3 linked regions of the Notamacropus eugenii genome follow. The protein of the gene in region 1 interacts with the protein of each later gene in a pairwise test. Links are inferred from orthologs where the notes say so. Each region holds a gene or a part of one and is shown in the gene's direction. Other genes may lie near its edges. The genes, in order: ARL3, ARL2BP and PDE6D.

Region 1 (7,988 bases):
GGAGCTGATTGGACAAAATGGAATCCTACTTAAGTGGAAAGCTAGCTGGGATTGTCTGCATTTGCACATGAGAATCAAGATGAGTTTTGCTGTGCTTTGCTGTAAGAAAAAACAAAGTGGTGATTAGACAAAGCAGACTTCTGTTGAATGAAGAGCTAACTGGGCTTGTTTGTCTACAGATCCCAAAGAGATAACCTGAAGAGCTTTGCAGCTGTCTGGTTGAAAGTAATGGCATGTCACTAGAGAAAGTGTTATACTTTCTCAGACCCCTGTTAAAAATGACTGTGAGTTAAAAGAAGTTGTACAACAGTGCCTCATCAGCTTGAGGGCAAAAGAGAAGATGATATGCCCAACAGGAGAATGGTGAGGACCAAAACCAAAACAGCAGAGAAGTAGCTTCTTGCGGTACAGGTGATTCCTAATGGGGACCAAGGACATCAGAGCCTGAAAGCAAGAATTATAAGTTGTCCCCCCCAAGCACATGGATTTTCCCATTCATGTGTCTCCCTCCTATTCCTATAGACCCTCCTATTCCATGACAGAAAAGGCTTCACTGAATGTTTTCTCATTTTATGCACAAGTAAAACCAACCCACCAGATGGACTGTGTGACACTCAATGGTTTGGTCACTGGGAGCTAGCCTTGGTGGGGTGGAGGACCCACAGGCAGGCAGTTCCAGCAGGATGCTTAAGACAGGATAGGAGGCCTCAGTGTGCTGGGGCTGGGGGTAGCGGTTAAGCAGTCACTGACAGGCTTGCAGTTCATTTTAAACTCTACAAAGGACAAGGGGCATAGCTATAGGCTCTGTACTTCCTTGAGGAAGTTCTGACACTGCTTACGCTGGGTTTGAAGAGCTTGCTGGAGATGAGACTGGCTCTCCTAGTACAACTCTGACTGTAGGAGAGATAGGGGAGACACTGCCTACAGTTAGCAGCCTGTTCTGATGGAAGGTAAATTATATTAAAAATGGGACTTTTCTACTTGTCTGCTATATTTAACTATTGGAAGGAAAGCAGTGCTGTTGACTCATTCATAAATAAATTAATTCATTTGTGGTTTAAAAAAAAGGGAGGGGTTTCTATGTATCTACTCTTCACCACCAACATGGAGGTGCATTACTCGAAGACTGTGACCCAGGTTTATTGGTGGACTATAATGCTGTGATTATCCTTGCATTTACCTCATACTGAATAACATGGATTTTATAATTATTCTTGCTTTTGCTTCATCATTAAATATGTTTTATATTCAAGAATCAGTAATGTAATACAGACTGATTCCCTATAAACAGGAAGCACAACAATGGGGGCTCAGGAACTACTGTGGTTAGTAGAAGGGCTACAGCAGCTCACAAAAGGTGATTCCTAGGACCTGGAGGGAGTTTTTGAGTCAGCTGTGGCACCTCACTCTCTGAGAATCTCAGACCTGTCTGCGTGAGGATTGGTTGGAATGAACAAGCCAGTCTAGGGAATTATAATGGGGCATTGCCAGGGCCAGGTTCTACATTTATGTACATAACGTAGACCCCTATTAGAACGTAAGCTCCTTGAAATCAGTTATTGTTTTATTCTTTGTAATTATATTCCTATTACATACCAAAATGCCAGGCCCATAAAAGGCACTTAATAATGTTTGTTGATTGACTGAGGGTGAAATCCTGATCCCAAGCAAGATCTCAGTTGGAGTGGTGGTCAGGAAAGACAGTTTGAGCCTTGCTGCTAACCCAAGGGAACGATATTTACACAGATGGTACTCAGTTATCTAGCTTGGATAAGGAAAAAATGAGACAAATGACTTACTAATTAACTCTTCCCACCTCACAGACCCAAAAGAATCATTCTTCCTCCCCTTAGAAATATACAATATTAGAACTGGAAGGAACCTTGGAGTTCAATGCCCTCATTTTACAGAGGTAGAAAGTGAAATCCACAGAAGGAACTGACTTGTCCAAGGTCAGACAGCCAAGTGATCTAGAACCCAGATCTCCAGGTCCCTAGTTCAGTGTTCTTTTCCACTATACTTCAATGCCATCTTCTTTAATGCAACATTTCTCCTTGAAAGAAAGTGCTGCTGTACGACTGCAAACAGTCCTGAGAGGTAGTAGCATTTCGCTATCAAGTTTTTGGAGATCCTTCTGTTGGACAGAAAAAATACAGATAATTTTCTCCTTTCCTAAGAACTTTACCCTCACAGCCTTACTCTCTAGGCAAGCAAGAAAGGAAGGCATATAATCCTTGGGTAGGAAGGAGGTACAAAGGGCTCTAATGGCTCACCATCAATCCCTTGCTGGGGGTCAATGACTAACTACTAGTCTGCACTTCTTTTTGAACAAAAAACATCTGGATGTTAGGGTTTGCCCAAACAACCTCAAAAATGGGAAATATGAAGCTATTAATTCATCCTCATGCTTACACCCACCAACTCTGGTAAACAAAATGTTAACATTTAGGGTGTTTTGAAACAGAAATTTCCATTATCTCTTTGGCACAAGAGTCAGTAGTCTGGAGACCACTAGGCAGCAGTTGAGGATTGTCTGGAATTTTGGCTGATAAACCACTTCAGCATATACTACAGGAGGATATGTCTTGTCTGCCAATTGAAGAGTCCTGTAAGGTAGAAACCAATGTTTGAAACCATTATGCACAGATAATAACACCTCTGCTGCTGTCAACCATCTGGCCAACCTCTACCAATAAGCCTCCTGATCCTACTTGACCCTAGATATCTAGTTTAACTGAGGAAGATGCTACTCTTTCCAAACATGAGCTCACAAAGGATAAATAGGTGCTAAGTGTTTTGTTTTCTGCAGTAACAGAAAGGGGGGAAGAGAGGCCATCCTTCTTTAGCCTGAGCAGAAAACTGCCCTAGAGGAGAGAGGATACAGCCTGGATGCCATGAAAACTACCCTGACCCTGGCTATGCTGCAACTGCAAGTAGGCCCCCAGGTTGAGCTGGGGGAGTGCATGTTGGAGAGAGCCTGAAACATGACTAGAAGCTGGGCCTGCCTTCCTGCCAGTTTGACTTGAGCTTCTCCTGATGCTTTAAGCCTGGTCTGAACCCTGAAATTAAGTGCCGACAATAAAATTTTCTTGCAATAATAAAAACCATTATGCACCATAAAGCACAGAAGTCTAGTTCTATAAATACACCCAAAATAAACGATTAATTAGTTATCCTGTGGGCAAAGTCCACTGACTCCAGCCAAATCTAAAAGCCTACTGCTATCAAAATCTGGCTCCTGCCTGCCGCCAAAATGAGAGCTAGGAGGGTGACCACTTTTGCCATTTTTTGTAGAAAAGAGGTATAGGTATGGAATACTACATATATTAGGTTTTTACAATACGTTGGGTAGTTTTGCTGAACTTTTTTTTAAAGCATTTTTATTATAAGGGATGATTTTCTAAACAGGGGAAAAGAATACACCAGAAAGCTAGTGATGTAAAAAGAAAATATATCACTAATTTTTTTTAAAGAGGGTGACCCAGAAGAAAATCCTACAAACTCTAAAGACACATAACTTCCTAAAATCTCCAAGCCCAAGCCATCTCTGCTCCTCCAAAGAGACAGCTGTGTGGTTACAGAAAAAAGATACTAATTTGGTGTCAGAAAACATGGGTTCAAATCCGAGCTTGTCCATTACTAGATCTGCTACATGGAACCTGCATCTCAGTCCCTGTTGCTCAGTTTCCTCATCTGAAAATGATACTTGTACTATCTAACTCAACAGGTAATATAAGCATCAAATAAAGTAATTTAAGCTCTTTATGAAGGAGACAGCTAGGGGCTCAGTGGATAGGTCTGGGCCTGGAGTCAGGAAGACCTGAGTTGAAATCCAGCCATAGACACTTACCAGCTATGTGATCCTAGGCAAGTCAACCTCTGTTTACCTTAATCCTATGGAGAAGAAAGTGGCAAATACTCCAGTATCTCTGCAAGAAAACCCCATGGACAGGTACGGCCAGTAGGGTCAGGAAGAATCTGACAACTCTGAACAACAGCCACAAAGCTCTTTGTGAACGTTAAGGTGCTATGCAGATGTCATCAGTTACATTAAAGCTTCAGACTACTTAGAAGGAGTATTTCTGAAGTGGCCACATTTTCACTACACGTCCAGGCCCCCTTTCCAAAGAGACAAGAAACAAGATCACGTTGTTCTGGCCCTCCAAGCTGCCCTGGAAGACCCCCACTTTATTCCTGGGATGAGTATTCTAAGGAGGCATCCTGGTCATCATTAGCAGAAGTGTGGCAGCATCTACTGGCTTCCAGGGTAGGTGCTTGGGGACTTGTGGGGACTCCAGAGCATCGTGGCTCCCAGGATCCACGCTCAGGGCACAGTTGCCAGACTTGCCCCCACTGAGACCTCCAAGACACCGCCTCCTGCGACCCAACCTCTAGGGAGATTCAGTTGAGTACAGGCCTCTGAGATGTGGGGGTGGGGCAGTGCATGCGCGGAGGAGGGGCCTCCTCCACCAGTGCCAAAGTGTTCGCACTGGGGGGGAACGGCTGCCTCTTTCTTTTCCTAGGGGCTGCTTGGAAGAGCAGTGCCAGTCTTCCCAACGTGGGGCCCCCCCTTTTCTTTTTTGCCACGTTGACCCTGTGGCAGCCGCAGCACATGGGAACTGAGCCGTTGGCACCACGCTGGGAGTCTGCGCGCCCTGAACCTATCTCCCCTCCTAAAAGCCAGGGGCCCTGGAGCCCGCGGGAAGAGTCAGGCTAGTCCGTGCCGCCCGTCCACCCTCGCCCCTAGGCCGCTCCCCAAAAGCCAAACCTGAAGCCAGGCCAGACGTCGACACAGACAGCGGAAAGCAAAGCGCGCTCACACAGACTGCCGCCCCTCCCAGGAGCGTTCCGCCCCTTCGGCTCCGCCCCCCGCGCCTCCGCTTCCGGACCAATCACAGGAGGGGGCCGTCCCTGGCTGGCCACGTGGGCAACTTTCCATCACCTACTTCCCCCCGCCCTCTCGGGCTTAAAGCAGAAAAAGGAGTACGCCTGCGCAGGAAAGGGCTTGGCCGGACGCTCGGGCTGGATTGCGTCTCTGTGCGCCTGCGCTCTCTTGGGAAGGGACTCGCGGGACCCCTTTCTCCTTCTCTCTCCTCGGTGTCTCCGCCCCAGCCCACTGTGCGTGTAGTGGCGGCGGGACGTCGGGGCGGTGCCCGCGCCGGGGACGGGCGGTGCCGCCGCAGTTGCCCCTGGTAACGGGGGAGGCAGCAGGAGGAGGAGGAGGAGGAGGAGGAGGAGGAGGAGGAGGAGGCGGAGGCAGAGGAGGGAGTCGGCGGGAGGATGGTGAGTGTGGGTGTCTGGGCCGCCCTCGAGCCCCCCCAACCCAGGTCCGCTCTCGGACCCTAGGGCTCAGGCAGGACTCGGGCGGGACGCCCTCAGACCCTTCCCGTCGTGCTGGGAGCGCCCGGGAGCGGCAAGGAGAGCCTGAAACGGGCCGGGTGGGAGGCCTGGGGCCTGAGGGAGGGCAAGGCTTGAAGATGGGGGCCCGGAAAGGGGCTCCGGGCGCGCTCCCCCAGCCGCCCGCGGCCGAGCTCCGCAGGGGTGAGGGCTGTGAAGAGCGATTCTCAGCCGCCCTCCCCTCCTCCTCCCCGGGACCCCGGGGGTTCTGCATGCCTCCATCCGGGAGTGGCGGGAACGCTCCCCCCGCCGGGCTCCGTGTCCACAGGTGCGGGCCCCGGGAAGTGGGGATGGCCCGCTGCGCTTGAGAGGCTTCCTCTGGGGAGAAGCTCTCCCGCTTTGTGATCTGGGGACCTGCCCATCCCAGCCTCCGGGATAACCAGGCCAGAGCCCCAGCTCTGCCTGGGGCCATCACGAATCTGCCCCAGCTGGTCTTAGCCCCATCGAGACTGCCCCCACACACACACACACACGCCTTATTTTTTGAGTTGATCCAACTTAATAGAAGAGCCTAGCCTTGGGGAGAATACCCCGGGCTTCCTTGGGCAAAGGAAAAGGGTAGGTGGACTGGTTATCAGCCTGTGGCACAGGTTCTCACTTATCAGCCCAAACGAGAACTTTTCCCGTATTTTGGACCTCGGATAGTTTGGCCTTTTCTGTTTGGACCCTCGGAATACTTCGTTTGGAGGTGCTTGAGATGTCATTTCGATCTTGTTCCTATCCCAAAAAGTATTCTTAGGCTTCCTGAGGATGCTGGTCAGTTAGTCACTTGAAAGGAAAAATAGTTAGGCTTTGTAGCCTTGAGTGATGCTGAAACTGGAGTTTGAGTTGCTCTCCACTGCTCATTTTTTTTAACCTTTAAAACTATTGGAACATTTCAGTGGTTGAAGGGCTTACAAAAAGCTGGAGCAAAATGAGAAAACTTATCCAGTGTTGGATAAGAGATCAATGACTATAGGAGGAAAAACCAATTGATTGCACATGATCATGATTGCTAAGTATAATAAGTAGAATTATTTTAGCTAATGCTGCCAACCAGATTTTGCACATTCTATGTAACAGTTTTGTTAACCTCAGGCTAAACAGATTTGTGTAAATATTTTTGGTGTTATCTTTTTATTAATCATTTGTTTATGAGCTATTCATTAGAAAGATTTGTCATTAAAGAACACAAATATTTACCCAAAAGTAACTAGAACTGAAGCTAAATAGGCATGTCAGACCAACAGAAGATGAAGATTGTCATCACAGATGATAAATGTATCATCATTGGCTAATATTTACCAGTTTATCCATCAAATGAACGAAATAATTTGGTTTTTTTTTTAAATTGAAGAATATAAATGACAGTAACCACTGGATCTACTTCCAGGTGTAAATTGACTTTCAAGGGTTTTGCTGAATTTTTTCTCATATGTCTGTATACATATATGTATGTATGAAATAATTAGCACAGACATTCCATAGTATATGTGTGGTTTAATTTTTTTGCTTATCTGTGAGAGGGTCTGTTATTGTTACAATAGAATTAAGATCCTTAAGATAGGGCCTGCTTTTTTTTTTGTCGTTGTATCTCAGGGATCTACCGTATTGGATGTCTGGTAAAGACTTAATTGAGCGAAATGGAAAATAAAATGTCAATTTTTTAAACATTTGTAATGTAACTTAATGTGTCAGTTTTCAGAATTCTGTGTTTGGGTTTTTTAGTCACTCGATGTTTTCTGAGATCATTATCTATATCAACTATAAGCTGTTCTTTTACATGTACTCCTATAATTTTACTAGTGTTGAATTTTTTTCTAATGTGGTAGACATATATAGTCTATAGATATAGACTATATGATACATATAGTATTTGCAGTGCTACTATTATAAAAGCAAATCTAATTTCACTTTAAGGCCAGTAAAAGTGGCAAAGCAAACTATAGATACAAGTTACCAACTTCTTGAAATAAAAAGTCCAGCAAACTCTAAAACCTTCAGCTAAGACTCATTATTGATACTTGTTTATTTTAAAAATTGGGCTACTGTAACAAAAAGCCTACTCATTCACTGATAGTTTATTCAAACATTTTAAGCTGTTTATAGTACACATGTATGAAATGACAAGATCACAAGTCATTTTAATCCTAACTTCACATTTTTAACCAGAATTCTTTTGTTCAATCACTTAGTAATTCAAAGCTCTGTAGAAAGTATTGTATTACTGTATTGGTTTTTGATATGTCAGTAGTTTTCAAATGTATTTTGCATTTGAGGATTATTCTAAACCAGAAATGTTTAAAATATAATTTGGAAATATTTAACAAAATAAATAAAAGTACATTAAAACATAGATTATATTTTGAAACCAAGCCAATATGCTTTGGTATCGATGTATAGATTAGTAGTCCCCATTTCCATTTGTGTTTGATGCCACTGTTTTATACTCTTTTTCTATAAAAAAAATTCACTGGATAAAGTACTACAGATCCATTCTTTATGAGGAAAAGTCCATTCCATTGACACTGGCAGAAAGGAACACTGACATCTTTGTCTCCAAGAAAAGCTTAAGACTTTCATGTATTTATTATAGAGATAACTAACCTCAA
Region 2 (7,265 bases), about 290 Mb from region 1:
TATGCATAATGTCAGCATATATCTCCCTTTTTCTATAGATCAAAAGATCCATAATTGAAAGGAACCGTCAATCCCCTTATTTTATAAGAAACTGAGGCCTACTTCAACAACAAGAGATAGAAAGAGAAATTCCATTTAAAGTTACAGGAGGCATTATAAAATATTTGGGAATCTACCTACCAAAACAAACCCAGGAACTATATGAATGCAATCATAAAACATTTTTCATACAAAGTCTGATCTAAATAATTGGAAAAATATCAATTGCTCATGGGTAGGCCAAGCTAATATAATAAAAATGACAATTCTACCTAAATTAAATTACCTATTCAGTGTCATACTAATCAAACTACCAAAAAATTATTTTATAGAGCCAGACAGAAACAATAACAAAATTCATCTGAAGAACAAAAGGTCCAGAATATTAAGGGAATTACTGAAAAGAAATGCAAGGGAAGGTGGCCTAGCTGTATCAGATCTTAAATTGTATTATAAAGCAGCAATCATCAAAACTACTTGGTGCTGGCTAAGAAACAGAGTGGAGGATAAGTGGAATAGGTTAGGTACACAAGACACATTGGTCAATGACTATAATAATCTGCTATTTGATAAATCCAAAGATTCCAGTTTTGGGAATTAGAACTCAGTATTTAACAAAAATTACTGGAAAAACTGAAAAATAATATGACAAAAAATAGGTATACACCAACATCTTACACCCTATACCAAGACAAAGTCAAAATGGGTAAATAATTTAGATACAAAGACTGATATTATAAGCAAACTAGGAGAGCAAAGTATAGTTTACCTGTCAGATCTATGGAGAAGGGAAGAATTTATAACCAAACAAGAAATAGAGAACATGATAAGATACAAATTGGATGATTTTGATTACACTAAATTGAAAAGTTTTTGAGCAAAAAAAGCCAATGCAACCAATATTAGAAGGGAAACAGAAAGCTGGGAAGCAATTTTTACAACCAGTGTCTCTGATAAAAGCCTCATTTCTAAAATATATAGAGAACTGAGTCAAATTTGTAAGAATACAAGTGATTTCCCTATTGATAAATGGTCAAAGGATATGAATAAGTACTTTTCAGAGGAGGAAATTAAAGCTCTCTATAGTCATATGAAAAAATGCTCTAAATCACTATTGATTATAGAAATGCAAATCAAAACAACTCTGAGGTGTCACGTCACACCTATCAGATTAGCTAACATGACAAAACAGGAAAATGATAAATGTTAAAGAAGATGTGGGAAAATTGGAACACTAATGCTTTGTTGGTGGAGTTGTGAACTAAGTCAGTCATTCTGGAGAGCAATTTGGAACTATGCCCTAAAGGCTATAAAATTGTGTATACTCTTTGACCCAGCAATACCACTTCTAGCCCTGTGTCCCAAAGAGATCATAAAAATGAGAAAAGGGCTCACATGTACAAAAACATTTATAGCATCTCTTTTTGTGGTGGCAAAGAATTGGAAATTGAGGGGATGCCTATCAATTGAGGAATGGCTAAATAAGTTGTGGTATATGAATGTAATGGAATCCTATTGTGTTATAAGAAATGATGAGCAAGCAGACTTCAGAAAAACTTGGAAGGACTTATATGAACTGATGCTGAATGAAGTGAATAGAACCAGGAGAACATTGTACATGGTAGCAGTTAAAATGTGCAATCACTTAACCTTGATAGACTTAGCTCTTCTCAGCAATGCAAGGATCTAAGACAATTCCAAAAAACTCATCCACATCTAGAAAAAGAACTCTGGAGTCTGAATGCAGACAGAAGCATACTATTTGCTCTCCTTTTCTTTTGTTGTTTTGTTTTGTTTCTCCTTTCTCCTAATGGTTCCTCCTATTAATTCTAATTCTTTTTTACAACATGACTAATGTGAAAATATGTTTAATATGAATGTATAAGTAGAGCCTATATCAGATTGCATGCCATCTTGGGGAAGGGGAGGAGAGGAGAAAATTCAAAACTCAAAATCTTATGGAAATGAATGCTGAAAACTAAAAATAAAAAAATTAACTATACAATTAAAAAAAAAAACCAGAAGCCTAGAGAAGGAAAATCAGTCCAGCAGGCAGTCAATAAGCATTATAAGCACCTACTATATGCCAGACACCATACTAAGCACTAGAGATACAAAGAAAGGTGAAAGACAGTCCCAGCTGTCAAGGAGCTCAGTCTGAAGGGGGATACAACATGAAAATAACTATACACAAACAACATAGTATATACAAGATAAATTGAAGACCAATCAATAGAGAAAATGTTTTAGCATTAAGAGGGATCAAGGAGTAATTTGCCCAAGTTCACAAAGGCTTCTAAGTATACAAATAGGATTTGTACTTAAGTCATCTCCAAATCCAGGGATCTTTCCATTAGCAATTAACAAATATTTATTAAGCACTTAACTATATTGTGTGCCAGGTACTGCGCAAGGTGCTGAAAAGATGAGGAGAGGGGAGGGGAGGGAAGAGGAGAGGAGAGGGAGAATGATAATGAATTTGGGTCTGAAATCTCTTAGTTTGAGATGTCCAGACAAAGAGTCACTCCAGTTAAAAAAAAAAACAAAACTTAGTTGCTCCCTAGAACCTACCAATTAAAGATTCTTATCCCTTAATATCACGTTAAAGCTAATGCCACCTTATTTTTATTCATTTTTTTCTACAACTACCCTCCAGTCAAACTGGACAGTGTCTTCACAGCTCAAAGCCTTTGTTCCCCTCCCATGGAATGCATTCTTCCCCTTTTTCTGCTGAATTTCTATCCCTCACTTAAAGCTCAACTCGAGCACCATTATCTTCAGAAAGCAGAACTGCCCCTTCCCCCTGGGAGCTCACTCTTAATGTTTTTCTTCAGTCGTAGCTGACTCTTTGTGACCTATCTGGAGTTTTCTTGGCAGAGACACTGCAGTGGTTTTCCAGCTCCTTTTACAGATGAGGAAACTGAGGCAAGCAGTGTCACCTGGTATCTGACGTTAGATTTGAACTCTGGTCTTCCGAACTCCAGGGCCAGCCGCTGTAACATACATGCTTAACACTTTACAGAAATGGTTTAGCACTTATTGAATACCATACATATCCACTAACTAGCCTATTAAACCACGTGCGGGGGTGCGGAGGGGCTACCAGCCTTATCTATCATACTTTAAAATATCTTAAATGAGCTCTTTTCTCCTCTTCCCTCTCTCTTCTGCTGGCTTTAGTGGAAAAGTAAATAGCGTTGGGGGTCGGAAGACGCCAGGATTCGAATCCAAATTCAGACACTTTATTACCAATTCGATCCCGAACCCTGGGTTCTTAATTTCTCTTGTGTCCACAGACTCCTTGGCCAACCGGGAAAGTCTACGGGCCCCTTCTCGGAATAATGGTTTTAAATGTATCCAATAAAATACACGGGTTTGACACTGAATTTGATTAATTTTTTTTTTAAGTTCGCGACCCCAGCTCGAGAGCTCCCAATTTAAGCAAATGACGGTAACCTTGCCGGGGAGCGAGAAGACCGTCACCCCGGGTTCAAGTCAGTGCTCAGACACCCACTGGCTGGAGGCCCGGCCAAGTCCCTTAAGCCTGTCAGCCTGTGTCCCCATCTGAAAAACGAGCTGGAGACGGGGAAGGCCAGCCCCGCCGCTGTCCTTGCGGGAAGCCCGCACACGGGTCACCAAGAGGCGCGCCCCAAGAAAACCACTCTGCAGCAACGGTGAAAACCTCCCTCGTTTATTTCCTCCGCCTCCTCCAGCTCCACGCAGCCTCACGTAGGGCGGGCAGACGCAGACGGCGTCCGCTGTGATAGGCTGGCCGGCCCCGCCCTTTCCGTCTGGAAGGACGCCGGGACGGGATTGGAACGGCAGGCGGAAAGAGCTGTCGTCATGGTAACGGGAGCGCGGCGGGGGCGGGGAGGAGCAGGGGAAGGAGGGATTCCACGTTCAGGCGACGCCGCAGGGGGGCGGGGTGGGGGGAACCAGAACCGTAACGGATTCCATGGGGCATCGAATCCGGGGGAGAAGCTCACGGTCCCCTCCGCTTGAGTGAAGTTCGGGTTTCGACCCTCTCCACTTCCGCGGTTTGGGGAGGGGGGGGAAGCCATTTAGAGCCTCGGGGCACTCGGAGCACCCCGCAGCGGGGGGGCCCCGAGTGGACCCTACAGTGCGCAGGCGCAGGCTGGTCCCCGAGACCCGGCCCACCCGGGACGGGGAGGGAAGGGGTAGGGGTAGGGGTGGGGTGGGGGTGGGGGTGGAATCGGAGTAGGAGGAGCCCGAGGTGCCCGGAGTCTCCCTCCCGAGCCCAGGCCGCGTCTCAGATCAGGTAGAGGTGAGGGAGGAGGCCCCAGAACGACTGGGAGCTTCACGGTCAACTATGATGGACACTTTAGAAGAAGAAAACTTCGCCCTGGCCATGTGAGTGACCCCAGCGACAGCTGCGCCGCAAAGCCCAACTTTTGGGGGGGGGGGGCGAGGATGGGGGAGGGGAAGTTGCTAGACAGCCTCCCGACGCGTGCAAGATTTTCAGAGATTGTCCAAGGTTGCAAAGCACCAGCCTCCCCCCGCCCCCCACCCCCGTGCTTTTAGCTACACGAGGAGAGGGAGCGAGGTGCTGGAGTAGAAGGAGGAGTGAATGGGGCCCTGGGTTCGAGTGCTGCCTCGGGATGTTTCCTGGGTGACCAGTCACTTAAACTGCTTTCTCATCAGTAAAATGGGGGTAAGGAGGGAGGGGGCTGGGGTGGTCTCAGGGTTCTTAACCTTTTTTTAGTCTGTGAGCTTCTTGTGGGCAGGAATTGGGTTTGGTTTTTGTTTGCCTTGCCTTCCTTTTTATATCCCTGGTGCCTGGCACTTAATGACTTGACCCTCCTTTCCCGGATAGACCTCTATGAAGGCCTAGTGAAGCATCTGGTCCCCTTCTCAAAATAATGTTTTTCAGTGATTGAAGGAAGTACTCAATTTCATTTAGTGGTTAGCAAAAATAAAGTTGTAATTTTCCTTTTTTCCCCATCCAAGTTCAAGGACCCCCTTCATCTACCTACAATAGGATCACACACACATATGTATACATGTACAGATGTGTATTGCACACATATACATACATGTATACACATATATACACAGATACATACATACACACATGCACATACATATATGGATTTGAAAAGGACCTCTGAGACCATCTAATCCAGCTTCCTCATTTTACGGATGAGGAAAAGTGAGGACCAGAAACGCTAAAGGAATTGTCCAAGATCACACAGGGTGGTAAGTAAGCACTAAAGATGGGATTTGAACTTTTGGCCTCTAACTCAAGAATCAGTGCTCTTTCCATTGTACACCACTGCTTCTTGGATCAAAGGACCAAGGTCTGAATCCTGATTCTGCTACTTAATACCTGTCTGATCTCCAGCAAGTCACTTCTTTCCCCTCTGGGCCTGTTTTCTTAATCTGTAAAGTGAAAGAGTTGAACTCATGGCCCGTTTTTGTACAAGCAGGGAACTAAGAATGATTTTTATATTTTTAAATACAGTAAAATGTTTTTTTTAAATGTGGAAATCATGCTTAGCTAGCAGGCAGCAGCCATAGTTGAGAGAAGCTCAGGACTAGGTAATTTTCAGATTCCTTCCAGCTTCTGTTGCTACAGTTTGGACCTTCTTATTAAATTGTGTAAAAGAACTTTAAAAGGAAACTCTCTTAGCAGAAGGTATTCCAAAGAATAGAGTAGATTTTTATACTGTATTGAAACTCAATAGGTTTCCTCCTGCTCACTCTGTGCTTGAACCCTGAATGCCATATCTCCAGCCAACCAGAGATTTGTCAAGTACAGTAGTGTGTGTTGTCATGGAATTTTTTTATGCCACCATCACAATGAGGACCAGCCTCTCTCAAGCCAGTGATATTCAAAGCCTGTCATGAAATCTGACTGATTAGAGTTGCCTTGATAGCAACATAAGAAGAACAGGTCCCCTAAAGTAACAAAAGTCATACAGAGTTTGGGGGAATTCCAAGTCATCTCTTTGAATTATACTCCTACATAGGTGGCCAACTTCAGCTGTGGTACACAGTTTTTAATGCTCCAGATTGTGGTGACCATAAGCAGATAGTTTGTACTAGTTTTGGGGTCAGCTTCAAAGATGCGGTAAGTGGAGCAGAACAGGGATCCCTTGCTTAATTACATAGTTATGTTGCCTAAAAGTTGTGTGACTCAAATTTATATTTAAAGGAACTCTGTAGTGACTCCTTTTATTGCTTATTGTTTCAGAAAACCTTATGTAAAACAATTTGTTCTTATAAAGGTGGGATGTACCCATAAAAGGAATTAAACCAATTATTGGATAAATTGTCTGACCTATAATCCTGATATTAATTTTCAGTTCTTCCGCTTCTGATGCAGAATTTGATGCAGTAGTTGGATGTATAGAGGACATTATCATGGGTAAGTTTCATTTATAAAAGAGAAATATAGATGCCTCAACTAAAACAAATTAAACTCTGTGCACAAAAAAATAAAGACTCTTTCCAGTGTTAAAAAGAAGATAATATATCTTGACTTAGAGATTTTTGTTCTAATGTAGTGCATTGCCAGTAGAATTGGAAAAAGATTTTTAGCCCACATTTTCATTCCCTGCAGTACTCTTCTCTGCCGCATACCTGAGGATAGGTGGCATTCTCTTCTCTGCTTGTATATTTCCAATAACAGAAAACTCATTACCTCACAAGACTGGTTCTTCCAAATCTGTCTTTTTTCATCATTTTGGAAAATTGACATCACTGTAGTTTACTCAAGAGCTTTGAACTGCAAGTTTTTAGCTCAGCTTTGCTATTTTGACCAAGTTATTTATTCTGTAGGTCTTTCTCTCTTTCTGTAAAAAGGAGTCTAGATTTGATGATTTCTAAGGTACATTAAAACTTTAAGGTTCTATTTTAATTAGAGTTTTGGAATATAACCATGTTTAGCTTTTCCTTCCTTGAATCCCACAAACTCTAAGGTAACATAATTTTTGCCCAGGGTTCCCATTACTTTTGCTACAGAAATTGGTTCCCTGTTGGTCAAGATAACATCTGGAGCAACGATTCTTTTTTTGTGTCATAAGCTTCTCTGGCTTTCTGATGAACCCTGTGAATCCCTCCCCAGAGTAATATTTTAATGTATAAAAAATATGTAGGATTTCAAAGGAAACCAATTATATTGAAATTTAGTTATCAAAGTATTGAAAATTCGAAGACTTCCTGAAATCTGCTCCTGCCAGGGGGATAGATTAGCAGTGTAATTA
Region 3 (7,022 bases), on another chromosome or scaffold:
CTCAGACTGCTGGGGAGATGGGCAGGGGTGCGGAGAGGGGTGGGGTGACTGAGGAGGGCAAGAAATGGAGGTGGAGTTGTTAGTGAAAAGGCAGTTTTGGGGTACCCAGGGTACAAGAAAGGCGCTTTCTTCCTCAAAACGTTACATGTTGGATAAGGGGCGAGGGAAGCCCGGCCAAGGGGTGTTTCTGGGGGTGATCTGCCGCAGGAGAGCTAAGGCAGGAACCTCGAATATCCCCGAAGCGGGGTGCTGGGGGCTCTCCTCTGAGCCTCAGAAGGAGCACGCTAAGTGAGGGGCTCCGGCGGGGGTCCCAGACTCTCTGGGGAATCTGGAAGTGCCTCTCCCCACCAGGAGAGATGAGGGCGGCCGTGGAGGGGACCGGGGGCCGGGGGCCGAGGTCGGGAGAGGGGGGCTGGTGCTGCCATTGTGGTCCCCAGGGGGCAAAGGGGAGGCGGAGGAGCCCCTCCTGCCCCCCGGGACCCCGAGAGTGTCCGGGGCTGGATCTGAACTCGGGTCCTCCTGACTCCAGGCCAATAAACTCGGGGGCTACAAGCCTAAGGCAGCTTCGGGGGCGCAGGCCCAGGAGAAGGAGCGGGAGGGGGAGGCCTGAGGCCTGGAGGTGGAGGCAGCTCAGAGGGGGGGCACAAGGGGCCTTAGGAAGGAAGAGAAGCGAGGGGGGCTGGGGGAGGGGAGGCCTCGGTGGGGGCGGGGCTCGCCCCTCCCCTCGCTCACCGGAGGCGGCGGGTGAGGGGGGCGGGGCGGACCACCCCCCCCCAGGAATGCCCTCCCCGCCCCCTCCAGCCCGGGGTCCCCCCAGCTCCCCCGGGGCCACCCCTGCTCCTTGTACCTGCCTCCGCCGCCAAGGCTCCGTCCGTCCGCTCCCGGCGCCTCCCCGCGGGTCGTCAGGCGGCCATCATCGCTCCGGGGTCCGCCGCTCAAGTGCCTCCGCCGGGCCGGCCCTCTCCGAGGCCCCCTCGGAAACTCACCGCCTCTGCGCCCAGGTTCCGGCTGCAGCACGTGGGTTCCGGCGCGCGCGCACGCGCAGTCTCTCCGTGCCCGGTTTTGCCCAATGCGCAGACTCCGCGGGTCAAGGCCTTCTCGCTTTGCGCATGCTCGGCTCCCGCCCCGGCCGGACAAAAGCCTTCCCCGCGCGGCGGCCCCGGGATAGGTGCTTTTCGCCTCCCCGCCCCCAGCCCTGTCCACGTGCCCCCTCCGCCCCTCCCCCCAGGCTCCGCTTGAAGATCTGCCGGGAGAGCGCCCCGCGCTTTAGCCCAAGTCAGCTTGGACCGCTGCGGGCCATCCGAGGTGTATTTATGTGTCCGGAGCGGTCCTGAGACAGGACACGCACACACACGCACACGCAGCCAGCGACCTTTATTTTTTATTGAAATTCCCCCTCGGGACAGTGAGAAACTGTCAGCTGGACTAACCAGATGAAGACACCTTTCTGTGCAATGGTCAGCCTCGGCAACGACCCCCACCCCACTAAACACAGTGTACTGTTGTCTGGTGAGACCCTCTCTCAAAGGGGTCAGTCCAGGAAAGGTGTAAATTAGGGATGAACTGAGTTCAAATCCAGCCTCAGACACTTCCTAGCTGGATGGCTCTGAGTGGGTCACTTCCCCCTGCTTGCCTCAGTTTCCTCATCTGTGAAGGACATGGCAAAGCACTCCAGTATCTTTGCCAAGGAAACTCCAAATGGGGTCACAGAGTCAGACAAGACAGAATAACAACACTATGGGCTTCTTTGTCCTCTTTAATTGAGGGCTTTGGGAGGAAATAGGTGCTCAGTCCCTTAATCAGAGAGGCAGAGACTAGGATGAGGCATGAAGAGCAAAGCTTGAGGATGAATTTTCTGGAGTCACAGAAGCAAGTGAGGCTTTGCATGACTATGTCTATCGTCTATTGTTACTGTGGTCACAGCTATTTGCTGTGGATGTCATTCTTAGGTGAGTCCCTGGGATGCTCCTTTGATATCCTTTCTTCTGTGGTCCAGTGGCTGTGAGCTCCAGAAGAGAAGGGATAGACCATCTTTTGCCCTTCTTTGTAGCCCCAGTATTTAGCACAGTGCCTGGCATACAGAGAACACTTAATAAATGCTTGTGTACTTGTTATAGGTTGATATGTATTTGCTGTTATGGTATATAACTACAGGTGCTGGGCTTTTTGCAGCTGATTTTGCGAGGGACTACAAAATGTTGGACTGTCTACTTTACGGAGAACACGAATCACCAGCTCTGGTGATTGAGTGCTTTGCTTCCCTGGCTTCTTTCAAGTCTCAACTAAAACTCCATCTTCTTCAGGAAGCCTTTCCTAACCCTCTTAATTCTAGAGCCTTCCCTCTGTTAATTATTTACTATTCATCCTGTATGTAGCTTGTGTACACCTATTTGTTTGCATGTTATCTCTTCCACTGGATTGTAAATTCCTTGAAGGCAGGGAGTATCTTTTGCCTTTTTTTTTGTATCCTCCAACTCTTAGCCTAGCACATAGTAGGAGCTTAATAAATGTTTATTGATTGATATATTGTGGGGAACATGGAGATGACAGTCCTTATTCCTGTCTTCTACCTTACTTCAGCTTGTTATGACTGGCACCCATTTCTGGTTGTGTTTTTGGTTTTTTTTGTGGCTGTTGTTTTTAATTCTGTATCTGCATCTGACTGATCAAGTTTTCTTCCTCCCAATAAACACCTGCGGATGACCCTTTCCTGTGCATTTCCTCATGGCTCTTTGTCCATCCCATGAGGGCACAGGCTCCCTGGGAGCAAAGGGACTTTTTTTCACTAAGCTGGAAAACCAGTCCCCCAGGCCATTGTTAGACAGCTTTTTCTTTCCAATTCAGGGCATGATCACAAACATTCAGACTTTTCTAACTACATATCCAAGGACAGTGTCACTATCATTCTGGAGGTTTCATTCTATCAGACCTTAAGCCTAAGCTGTTCTAAGTATACACTTGGAGTTATGTATGTCATAAATTTGAGGATTTGGAAAGGACAACACCAGCAATTGGGATAATAGTCAAGCACTTAATGCAGTAATCTGAGGTTTGCAAAGCACTTTACCTACATGTGTTATTTCAGTTTAATCTTCATAATAACCCAGGGAGGTAAGTGCTATTATGATCCTCATTTTACACATGGGGAAACTGAGACAAAGGTCAAGTGACTGGCCCAGGATCGCACAGCTGGTAGGTGTCTGAGGCTGAATTTGAACTTGGGTCTTCCTGAATCCAGAATCAGGCAAGGGTTAATGTAGAAGATGGTGCCTGAACTTGTCCTTGAAGGAAATATGGGGGAGAGAAAGAATGTGAGAGGGAGAGAAAGAGGGAAGGAGAAAGAGAGGAGAAAAGAGATGAGAAAAGGAGTGGGAGGGAGGAGAGAAGGGGACATGGAGGGAGAGAAAGATGGAGGGAGAAAGGGGAAAGGCAGAAAAAGAATTAGAGAGGAAGAGGAGAGAGACAGAGACAGGATGGGGTCAGGGAGGAAGAACGACCCACAGGAGCCCCACGCGGTTGGATGTTTACGAACGAGTCCACGCGAGTCTACCTACGCGGTGATCCAACCGAGCGAGAGCAGCCTGCGGGACATCATGGGACTCGTAGTTTCCGGGCCTCTGAAAGCTTGTGGCATGCTGGGACTTGTAGTCCCCGCGCTCAACTCTTGGAGCAGAGCCCCAAGGTTGCCGGCGGAAGAAACTGTTTTTATTGGCTCTCACCCGGTCCCGGGGCGCCGCGGGCCGCAACGCAAGCGGAAAAGATTGACCCAAGGAGGCTCCCGTCTCGGGCCGGGTGGGGAGGATGACGACCGAGAGACGGTCTTCTGGAGGGACGCTCCTTCTTCCCCCGCCGAAGCCGCTCCTTCTCCTATTGGTAGGTTGAGCTGCCCATCCACAAAGAGGGGCCGGCCCCCGGCAGGATAGCGGTTTCCCATTGGTCATAGGGGCGGAGGGCGGGCGGCAGTGGGGGAGGGGGGCGGGGACCGCTGCCGCCTCAGTCGCCGCCGCCTCTTCAGCCGAGAATCCCGCTCCGGCCCCCCGGCCCCTGGCCCGGCCCCGGCCCCGGCTCCGGCTCCCTTTATCGTCGCCGCCGCCGCCGTCATCGTCGCCGCCGCCCGCCGCAGGTGACTAGCTCCGGGGCAGCGCCGCCCGGAGCCGCCGGCGCCTCGTCATGTCCACCGAGGACGAGCGGGCCCGGGAGATCCTGAGGGGCTTCAAGCTGTATCCGCCCGCGGGGGACGGTCGGGCCTGGGGGCGTGTGTGGGGGAGGGACCCTGGGCCTGGAGCTGAGGGGGCGGTGGCTCCTCGGTGCCTGGCAGGAAAGTCGGGGCGCCGGGAGGGGAAGGAGGAGGTGCGGGAGCAGCCCTGGGGGGCGTTAGTGCTGGGGCGCCCCGCACCTTCGCTCGTGCTTCCCACCCGGGGCTGGGCTGGGCTCGGGACCCCTGGGGTGCGTGGTGGCCAGTTGTGCGGTGCCCAGGGCGACGTTAATCTGTAAATGCTGTGTATAATCCCAGCAGAAAAAGAGCGTAATCTTTCCACGTCGACTTGGCGGCATCTTTATCTCTTGTTTTGCTCTTAAAGTTTGCTACAATCAAATCGCTAGAGATTAAAAAAAGGCTTTCTCCAGCTGTCTGCTGCAGTTAGCTGGCCGCCCGGTGTCCCCACCATGGCTGCACCTTCCTCTCCAGGGGTTCGCGAGGGCTCTCTCTGCAGCCTTTTAGCCTTGCAGAAAGCTTCTTTCCCCCTCCGTGTCACGCTGCCCGCAGTTTAGAACACCAGAAAGGCGAAAGCAGCTTTGTGGGTGAGACCGGAAATGGAAGGAGGGCAGCTGTGAACATGCCCTCAGCCTGCTGACTTCCCTCTCCCGAAAACTTTGAGCCTCGGGGAGTCAGGGCTGGAGCGGAGCTGGGCTGCCTCTTCCATCGCGTGGCCTTGCTCTTCTGGGAAGGGTGGACAGAGGCAGGCGTCTATTTGGTTCCACTCCCGTGACTGTGGATTGTTTCTTCCCATTTTCCTCCAGCATTGCTGGGTGCGGTCGTTTAACTTCAGTCTTACCTTCGCCAAGCTAGAGAGCAGCTTCGTTTTGATCTGGTTCAGATCGATCTGTTGCTGGAGATCAGAAAGCATCTAGGGCTAGTTTGAGTGAAGCAGGAAGTGGGAACCGCCTTTCCTTTTTAAGGGGGTTTGATTCTTGAGAAAACTGAAGGAGCAGCTAAATACACATGAAGGATACTGGTAAGCATTCAGAACCCGTGGCAGTCTTCTAGGTAAGAAGGGGAATTCATCGATCCAGTAGGGGTGTGTGTGTGTGCTGGGACACAAACTTGCCAGGAACAAATTTAGGGAAAGATAATATAGAAAAGAAAGGATGGGAGCCATTGATCAGATCCCCTCCAATTGTATTCTTTGGGCTAGTAATGCCTGGTATATGAGGGCTAAGGGTGAAAAACTAAGAAGTTACTTTTAGGTAAAAATAACATAGGTCTAAGTTTTGGTAACTTAAGGAGAATTGTCTCAAGACCTTTTTGTATGTATGCTTTGCTTAGATGTCTAATCTAACATCCTTTCAAGCTAAGAGTAACTGTGATGTAGAATTTCTACACAGTGGTACAACCACACCTTGGCTTCAGTGACTGTTCTCTCTCGAATCTCCTCCTACCTCTTTGATCCTTCCTTCTTAAGTTTCCTTTGCAAGATCATCCTCTTTCTCCTGCTCCTGTGTGTAAGTCCCTCTGGACTTTGACCTGAGTCCTTTTCTCTTTTCTCCCTCTTGTGATGTTAGCAGCTCCTGCGGGTTCAATTATCATCTCTTTGCTGATCTAGTTCTAATCTCTTTCCTGAACTTTAAGCCCTGCATTGCCAAGTCCTTGTTAGAATGTCCAAACTGGAAGTGATTCTCAAACCCAAACTGATCCTCAAACTTTCCTAATTCTGTGGAGTGTACCAGTACCCTTCTAGTCACCCAGGTTTACAGTCTTGTAGTCATTCTTTAAAAAAAACCAAATTTTCATTGATACTTTTTGTTTTTTATATCATCAGAATTTTCCCCACTCTCCCTTTCTCTTTGCCATCTCGTATACCAGATGCTATTTTTTAATAGACACAAAGGGGGAGAAAATCAGTACAGCCAATTAATACATCGAAAAGAAGGTCTAAAAATACTTACCAGGTGTAACACCTACGTCCCTCCCACCTCCACAAAGGAATGGGTATGTCGTCATTCCAGTTATCCTTGATCTTTGTAACTTTGCTCCATTCATGTTTGATTTTGTGTATGTCAGTGTGGTTCTTTCTTTTAATATTGTTGTAATTACTGTGTGTATTGTTTTCTCAGCTCTGCTTACCTCATTCTGTATCAGTTCATGCAGCTCTTTCTCTTTCATGCAGGCTTCTCTGTATTCATCACATACATCATTTCTTACAGTACAGGAATATTCCTTTACATTCATGTACCACAATTTGTTTAGTCATTCTTCAATCAATAGGCATCTACCTTGTTTCCAAGCCTTTGCTGTCACAAAAAAATGCTGCTTTCAGTATTTTGGTGTATATGGGGATTTTCTTCCTATCAGTGAATTCCTTGGGGGTTAAGCCCAGTAATGGAGTCTTGGGGTCAAAGGGTTTAGGCAGTTGGAGTCATTCTTGATTCTTTTATCTCTCTCACCCTCTACATTCAATTAGTTGTCAAGATGTGTAGATTCTACTTTCACATCTGTCCCATCAGTTTTCCTCTGTGCAGCTCATATTTTAGAAGATCTCACCAGCTTTCACCTGTCCTGTTGACCTCCTGGTTGGTCATCCTGCTTCTGATGTCCCCTCTAAAGTTCATCCTCCACAGAGCTGCCAAATTGATATTCTGAAACCATAGACCAAACCTGGCCATTCTTTTACCCAGAAATCTTTGTTCATTTCCTCTTGCCTCTAGGACAAAATTCAGAACCCTTAGCCTGGCATTAAAGCACCCCACAATATGAATCTCAACTACCTTATCTGTCCTATTTCTCATTACTCTCCTTCACACAC

Evidence for each region.
Region 2: the proteins of ARL3 (region 1) and ARL2BP interact in binary tests that used the Homo sapiens proteins (3 or more experiments, as listed by UniProt). The link is inferred for Notamacropus eugenii from reciprocal best matches to the Homo sapiens genes ARL3 and ARL2BP.
Region 3: the proteins of ARL3 (region 1) and PDE6D interact in binary tests that used the Homo sapiens proteins (3 or more experiments, as listed by UniProt). The link is inferred for Notamacropus eugenii from reciprocal best matches to the Homo sapiens genes ARL3 and PDE6D.

The regions. Positions count from the first base shown.
Region 1 is NC_092872.1:180,917,601-180,925,588, reverse strand, and holds the start of ARL3 (ADP-ribosylation factor-like protein 3), read left to right. Parts: upstream 1-4,931; 5' UTR 4,932-5,280; coding exon 5,281-5,283; intron 5,284-7,988. UniProt on the Homo sapiens protein: Small GTP-binding protein which cycles between an inactive GDP-bound and an active GTP-bound form, and the rate of cycling is regulated by guanine nucleotide exchange factors (GEF) and GTPase-activating proteins (GAP).
Region 2 is NC_092872.1:474,876,128-474,883,392, forward strand, and holds the start of ARL2BP (ADP-ribosylation factor-like protein 2-binding protein), read left to right. Parts: upstream 1-4,230; 5' UTR 4,231-4,369; coding exon 4,370-4,410; intron 4,411-5,877; exon of another isoform or gene 5,878-6,125; coding exon of another isoform or gene 6,126-6,130; intron 6,131-6,365; coding exon 6,366-6,427; intron 6,428-7,265. UniProt on the Homo sapiens protein: Together with ARL2, plays a role in the nuclear translocation, retention and transcriptional activity of STAT3. May play a role as an effector of ARL2.
Region 3 is NC_092873.1:58,279,151-58,286,172, forward strand, and holds the start of PDE6D (retinal rod rhodopsin-sensitive cGMP 3',5'-cyclic phosphodiesterase subunit delta), read left to right. Parts: upstream 1-3,924; 5' UTR 3,925-4,170; coding exon 4,171-4,220; intron 4,221-7,022. UniProt on the Homo sapiens protein: Promotes the release of prenylated target proteins from cellular membranes. Modulates the activity of prenylated or palmitoylated Ras family members by regulating their subcellular location.